2 linked regions of the Mus musculus genome follow. The protein of the gene in region 1 purifies or fractionates together with the protein of each later gene. This does not show direct contact. Links are inferred from orthologs where the notes say so. Each region holds a gene or a part of one and is shown in the gene's direction. Other genes may lie near its edges.

Region 1 (4,106 bases):
GGGCTCCTGGCATAGGTCTGTTAGACACACAGATTCGTCTGAACTGTTTCTGTGCCTTTAGCAGGAGATTCCAGGCCAATGTCAGTCTTCTCACACTCTTGTAGCTATGGCAACCACACACTCTCCATTCTCAAGCTTCAGTTGCTTAGTCCCTCCCTCTGCACAGGTTCCCCACGCGTTATATTTGATATTCCCAGACTGGAAGATGAGGCTGCACAGGTCATAGCCACCTCCAAGAGTCTAAGACCATGTGAGTTAGACAGTGAAGTGAGAGGTGCAGACCTGGCTCCAGGTTCTCCTTCTGTCCCTGTGTCCTCCTCTCTGGGTGTTTTCCCCGTTAGTGACAGGAGTAGAGGTGGTCCAACAGGAAAGAGGGCTGTCAAAACTTTGCTAACTGCAGGCCGGCCAGCCTGCTAGGGGCTGTCTTGTGAAAATGAGATAAAGCCTTTAAAATGGAGCTCCAGAGCCACACAGGAGCCAGATTGTAGTGGATGCTGTGGCTGCCTGGAATGTGAACTGCCTGAGCCTACATTCAGGTGCAACTGCATCGTTCCAGATGCATGCATAGCTGGAGGACTTGGAGCCCCTGTGTTAGGGACACTTGCCTTTCCTGTCCACATTCTTTCTTGTTTGTCTTCTAAGTCAGGTAGCTCCTCTCTTGTCAGCGTGCAGGCTTCCTTCTCTACAGTAGTGCCCTGCCTTCCCTGGACACTACTGTAGATCTCTCCCTGCAGCGGTAGCTCCTAAGACCTTTTTCGGAGTGTGTCTGTGTGGGGTGGTGGTGGTGGTACAGCGTAGCCTCCTTATGGCCCTGTAGAAGAGAGGCAAGTATGTTCAATTTGAGCTGTGGTTTGCAGCGGCAGGAAGCCCCCCGCCTTGCGGTAGGCTGGGGAGGCCGCAGGAGCTCCGGACTTCCGGACCTCGTGGACATCCACCAGTGGCACCAAGAGGTTTCCCAACAGTCCTGGGCAGGCACGGGCCAGCACAGGCAAATTGTAACTGTTAGCTTGGCTACACAGCCTAGAATAACAGGAGAGGCACCTAAGCACGTTCTCACCCATCTTTAATTCTAGAGTGCTCCAGTCTGCAGTTACCGAACACCAGTAGCGGTCAAATAGGAAGCGAGAACCACAGACGGCCCCTTTAAGGCGCTCCGCCTCCTCTAGTTTTTCTGACCCTCGTCGCCGCCCGTTGTCCCGCCCCTCGCGCACGCGCAATCCCTCCCGCCTCCCGCGCCGCTGCCGCCTAGTCCAGCAGATCGTCTGCTCTCGCGCGTAGGGCTAGCCGACGCGACGCCAGAGCGCCCGGCCCCGCCGCCGCGGCCCCGGCAGGTAAGCGAGAAACCCGGTCCCGCGGGCGCGAGGCGAGCGGCGGCCACGAGGGCCCTCGGGCTCCGGGCTCCACAGCGCCGCACGTGTTCCGAGGGCCTCGGGCCGGGCCGGACGCCGCATTTGCGGCCGCGCCCCGACCCCGCCGCCCCTTGTGGCCGCCACGGCCCGCTACTTCCACTGCGGCCCCTGCTACGCCCCTAGACCCTTAGTCCTGCGAGCTTCTCGAGACTCACACCTCAGACTGGCGTCACTGGGAGTGGAATTCTCTGTCTCATCGGGGACACCCAGCCAGCGTCGCGCAGGTTTCCTTGGCCACTTGGCGCCTCTCGTGCTGCGGGCACAACCCTCATTTGTGTCCTAGCGCAAGTTTCTACCTGACTAGGGCTGACCGGTCAAGGGTTTCTGAACATTGTCCGGGACAGCCGGGCAGTTGAGCGCACAGTGGTGTGAAGCCAAGGCTACTAGTACCTAGGTATCTAGGAGCCCAGAGAGGATGGGTTGGAGTTCTTTGTTGGGTTACCTACTGCACTCACCTGAGTGACTGAACCATTCTGTCTTCCCATACTTGTGTACTAGGGTGGAAACCAGGAGTCTACATTTGACTGGAGGGAGACTGATGGCTGCTGCCCTTCCATAGTCAGGCTCACTCTAGTGTAAAGCCCCGGCTGCGGCTGCCGGTTACCTACCTCCTTTGTGGGCAGTGGAGGCCAGCTCCAAACCACCTGCTGAGGATCCTGCTTAACCCAGCTTCCTCCCAGACCTGCCCTCCCCAAGTCCTGCTTTCCTGAGTGCTCTGTCTTGGACTCTACCCTGTGGAATTGGAAAGTGGTGGTCTCCTTTGAGCCGGTTTCAGGTTGATGCTAGCCTCACATTTAACTGCTTTGAATTCCTGAGCCTCCTGAATGCTGTGAGGCAGATTGGCTAATGTTGATATTCTTTCTTTCTTTCTTTCTTTCTTTCTTTCTTTCTTCCCCGTTTTTGTTTTTGTTTTTTGGTTGGTTGTTTGGGGCCCACATCCTTAGAGCTCTTCATCCTTAGAGCTGGAATTAAAGTGGGTGGTGCTACAACTAGTGTCTTCAGATGTTAATATTTGTCTTCCTGAAAGACCCAGCTTATTAACGATGTGATGGGCAGGGCTGGGTGGTGGTGTGCTTGTTGGCAAGGTCATCCACCTGCTGTTAGGTGAATCTCTTTATATGCTAAAAGAAGCTTAGTTCCTAGAGACTTCCCACACTGGAGATAGATCTGCCCTACACTGTTGGCCTTTCATTTCACTGGAGTAGGGAGATGAGATGCTGGTTGAAAGAGACTTTCTAGCCCTTTTCATTACTTAAGTCTCAGCTCCTGTTGCTACCTGTATGGTCCACAAAAGTGGTTGCTATGGGAACTCATGGCCATAGTTGCATTAAGAATAAGCACCAGGTCAGGCCTGGTAGTTGATTTATGCCTGTTACACCAACCATACCAAGCTTGAGACTGGTTTTTTAATACCAGTGCATAGCAAGACCCTGTCTCCAAAAAGCTAAAAGCACCAAGCAGCTGGTATTTCCTGGGCACAAGAGCTTTGTTTGTGGAGAGGCCCCTGGGACCTACCCTAGTCTGATCCTTGCACCTGGGCTTGAGCTACAGCGGATTTGACCTTGATGGAGATGGCTGCAGGTAAAACAGCTTGGCTGCACCTGTGTGGTGCATGGTGTTCCTGTTCTTTCCTCTAGGATTGAAGACTTTGAGGCATTGTTCTCTTTTGGTGTCCTTTCATCTTAGTCTTATGTGGGGGTCCATGTGAGGTTTCAGGTTTAACCTCAAAGCCAGACTTTACATTATGATTGCTCCTTACATTGATGGCTGAGGAATGTCTCAGTAGCTCTCCGTTAGAGGAGTACTAGCTCATTTCCCAGTCAGGTGGTGTGCTTTTCTGGATGCGTGCAGGTGATGGGCCCTCCTGTAAACTGCAGTAAACTGTTGCAGTTGCATACATGTTCAGGCTGAGTCTGTCCAGCTGACTGGAATAACTACTTTCCCTCAGACCTGCAGCTTATCTGCTGTTGTTTGTGCTGCTCCCCCAGAGGTTTCTTTCACATGGGGGCAGTGACTACTCTGTTTTATTCTTGGAGCGCTTTCGGTAGTACTTTGTGCACTGAGTCCCTGTGCTCTGTAAGCTCTAGGTATTGTTAAAGGCATGTTGCAGTTTATGAGGTCACAGGGAGCCACTGAGGAGGTGAGGCCACTGTGTTTCGTCAAATTATTTGGGTGTATTTTAGAATTTGGGTAAGTTCACAGACTTGTGCACAGAAAGTCTACCTCCTGTTACTTGGCCTGTTGTTTCTGTTAGAAAGCCTTTTAAATACTGTGTCAAGGGCTCTTTGAAGCAAACTCACATCCCTGTATACACCTGTCTGCTACAGTGGGAAGCCTAGGCCATCACACAGAGTGTCTGAAGCGTCAGCCCTGGGATAGGGTGACAGTTATCCCCAGCTTGGGACAGTTGATTTGTTGGAGGGTTCAATGTGGTGGTCGTGTTTCTCCTTTTTATTCTTTTATTTATTTATTTATTTATTTATTTATTATATGTAAGTACACCGTAGCTGTCTTCAGACGCACCAGAAGAGGGTATCAGATCTCATTACGGGTGGTTGTGAGCCACCATATGGTTGCTGGGATTTGAACTTCGGACCTTTGGAAGAGCAGTCAGGTGCTCTTACCCACTGAGCCATCTCACCAGCCCCCCTTTTTATTCTTTTTCTTGGGAATCTTTCTATTTTTATGTTTTAAAGA
Region 2 (3,267 bases), on another chromosome or scaffold:
TTTTTCCTCTTTGCTGTGCTCTAATAGATTTATAGAGCCATTTTCTAGGTAGTTGAAAACATTCTTTGATGCTGAATTTATTGGAAATGAGTAAACTAAGGTATTTTTACCTTGAAGGTGGCAGTATTGTCTTGGGTTACGGTAGTGGCTTGTCTGGAACCTTGAGATAATGCACTGCTTTTCCATATACTAAAACTATGAGAAAAAAATGTATCTTACATGACTCTTATAGCAAGTATCCTGTCTACGCTGGCCAATTTGGAAGGCGAAGAAACTTTTGAAGTGACGATGTTGGGACAAGCGGAAGAGGTCGTACAGGAGAGAATTTGTGATGATGAGCTGATCTTAATCAAAAAGTAAGAAGTGCTTTTGTAAGTTACAGAGCAATGCAGATTGTGTTGTAAAAATAATTCTTTCCCATTAATTTGCTGCTCTAGTCTGTCAGTGATAGGAGCGGTTATACGCATGGGATAAAACAATATTGGGCCATTGTACATGGAGATGAAATGTGTTTTGTCTCTCGTACATGGTCTAGACATTGTTCCTGGTGCCTTATGCCTAAATACCTTTCTTTTTGTTTGTTTGGTTTTTTTCTGTCTTTTTGAGACAGGGTTTTACCGTGTAGCCCTGACTGTCCTGGAACTCTCTTTGTTGTAGACCAGGCTGGCCTTGAACTCAGAAATCTGCCTGCCTCTGCCTCTGTTAAGAGTGCTGGGATTAAAGGCATGCGCCACCATGCCCGGCATGTCTAAATATCTTATTAGTGGGATTTAATCAACGTGTCTGCAGTTACTGTTTTCACTAACAAAAATGCTAATAGCCTCACGTTTGTTTTTTGTAGTACTAAGGCTCGTACATCTGCTTCAATCATCTTACGAGGAGCAAATGATTTCATGTGTGATGAAATGGAGCGCTCTTTACATGATGCTCTTTGTGTGGTGAAGAGAGTTTTGGAGTTGAAATCTGTGGTCCCAGGTGGAGGTGCTGTAGAAGCTGCCCTGTCCATATACCTGGAAAACTATGCAACAAGCATGGTAAGGCTGCTTTCAAAGGCATAGGGTGCGGTGTTGGGTTCACCGTAGGGTTTTACCCTGTCAGGCCCGCTGTAGGCTTTGACTCCTTTCATGGGCACACCTCATGGTTTCTTCCTTAGGGATCTCGGGAACAGCTTGCTATTGCAGAGTTTGCAAGATCTCTGCTTGTGATTCCTAATACACTGGCAGTGAATGCTGCCCAGGACTCCACCGACCTGGTTGCCAAGTTAAGAGCTTTTCACAATGAGGCTCAAGTGAACCCGGAACGTAAAAATCTAAAGTGGTGAGTATATGATTTCCTTGTGTTCTATTGTCAACTTCCATGGGTCTATTGTAAGTTCATAATAGTACCTTTGTCCCTCCCTCCACGTTTGGGAAATATATGAAGGGACTTGTCACATATTGAAACATCACAGGCATCGTTTTCGAGATAACATCTTTACATAATGGTGGCTGATAAGTTTTAGTGCTCTGCCCTAGGTGTCGCAACACTTGGTCCCATTCTGACTCCTTGGGTAGTCTATAGAAAGGGCCGAGAGGATGATATTGGGGTAGGGCTTTCTCATTTTAGGCAGCTCTCAGCTTACAGTGAATACAGTTTCAGAATATTGTATCCGTAGACACCCTGGTGTTTATAAAGATTCATAAAGCATATTTACACCAACCAGAACAGTATGCAACATGTCACTATTTGCTAAGTGTTCGATAGATGAGGTTTCCCTGCTACACTGTCAGCTATTCTTCTCCCAGAGGCAAGCTTGTTGTAACTCCCACAGTCTTTTGGACTAGAATAGCTGGAATACCTCACCACATTAATTAGGTCACTGACTCCAGTTTTCACCTTTATAGGATTGGTCTTGATTTGGTCCATGGGAAACCACGAGACAACAAGCAAGCAGGGGTGTTTGAACCAACCATAGTTAAAGTGAAGAGCCTGAAGTTCGCAACAGAGGCTGCAATCACCATCCTTCGGATTGATGATCTGATAAAATTACACCCAGAAAGCAAAGACGATAAACACGGAAGTTATGAAAATGCTGTTCACTCTGGAGCCCTTGATGACTGATTGGATTTCCCTCTTATTTATAACAGTGTCAGGTGCAATGCCGTAGCCTTGGGTGTCTCACATTAAAGTACAGCAAGCTGACCACCTGGGTTCCTGTCCTCAGTTTGGTCCTCTGGTTTCCCTTTCTGCTTAGTGTTGCACTGATTTAACAAGAACTGTCCAAGGTGGTGGCTGTCATGCAGTTCACCCTCTCTGAACACACATTGCGACTCCCATCCCACCCCCAATGCACAGGGCTGCAACACCACGGGTCCCGCCCACTCTCTCCAGGGTGTGCAGCAAGGTCACTAGAATCCTGCAGCCAGATGCTCCCAGAGGATGGCCCAAGGCAATGGCTCCTCCATTGATGTTGACCTATAGAGAAGAAGAGCCTAAGTCAGTCCTCTGTGAACTGACTGTTTTATATGTCTCCCCGCAGTGTTATGCTAGCAAACCATCCTTTCAAACTCAACTTTCACTGTAAACCTTAGGAATAAATAGGCCTATGTGACACCTCCTGGGTTTCTCTGTGTGGCTCTGGCCTTCGTGGAACTCACTCTGTAGACCAGGCTGGCCTCTAACTCAGAAATAAATCTGCCTGCCTTTGCCTCTGCCTCCCAAGTGCTGGAATTTAAGGCGTGCACCACCACTGCCTGGCTCCTGCTGTCTTTTTTTGTTTCTGGCATGTCCCACTGATTCTGATGTGAACTAACACACTCAGTTATTTACTGTGAAAAGTCAACACCTGGCAGAAGCAGCCTTGAACATGGATTGTGCAAGTTCACTGGCAAACACAACTTCATGTTGGTTACCTTCTCGGGGTTTAGTCCAAGTTCTTTAGCTATTGCAACAGAGAGAGCTGCATAGGCTTCATTGATTTCAAACAGGTCAACATCCTCCAAGGACCAGCCTGCCTTTGCAACCTACAAAAAAAACAAAAGGAACTTTAATTAAACCATTAGTAATTGACAGCTACAAGATTGGGCCCTGACTATAACAAGGGTTGAAGAATCTTATTTTTTTATTTTTGGTTTCTTACAAGACAGGGTTTCTCTGTGTAGTCCTGGCTGTTCTGGAACTCACTCTGTAAACCAGGCTGGCCTCAAACTCAGAAATAAATCTGCCTGACTTTGCCTCCCAAGTGCTGGGATTAAAGGTGTGTGCCACCACTGCCGGGGTGTTGAATCT

Evidence for each region.
Region 2: the proteins of Wdr5 (region 1) and Tcp1 purify together in Homo sapiens (affinity purification with mass spectrometry; 3 studies listed by BioGRID and IntAct, with this or other methods). This does not show direct contact. The link is inferred for Mus musculus from reciprocal best matches to the Homo sapiens genes WDR5 and TCP1.

What each region holds. Positions count from the first base shown.
Region 1 is NC_000068.7:27,513,950-27,518,055, forward strand, and holds the start of Wdr5 (WD repeat-containing protein 5), read left to right. Parts: upstream 1-1,197; 5' UTR 1,198-1,331; intron 1,332-1,356; exon of another isoform or gene 1,357-1,803; intron 1,804-4,106.
Region 2 is NC_000083.6:12,922,377-12,925,643, forward strand, and holds the end of Tcp1 (T-complex protein 1 subunit alpha), read left to right. Parts: intron 1-232; coding exon 233-356; intron 357-480; exon of another isoform or gene 481-541; intron 542-841; coding exon 842-1,034; intron 1,035-1,153; coding exon 1,154-1,317; intron 1,318-1,453; exon of another isoform or gene 1,454-1,883; coding exon 1,884-2,100; 3' UTR 2,101-2,283; coding exon of another isoform or gene 2,284-2,454; 3' UTR 2,455-2,691; downstream 2,692-3,267. Other genes in the region: Acat3 (acetyl-Coenzyme A acetyltransferase 3), read right to left, coding at 2,284-2,454, 2,892-3,002. UniProt on the Homo sapiens protein: Component of the chaperonin-containing T-complex (TRiC), a molecular chaperone complex that assists the folding of actin, tubulin and other proteins upon ATP hydrolysis.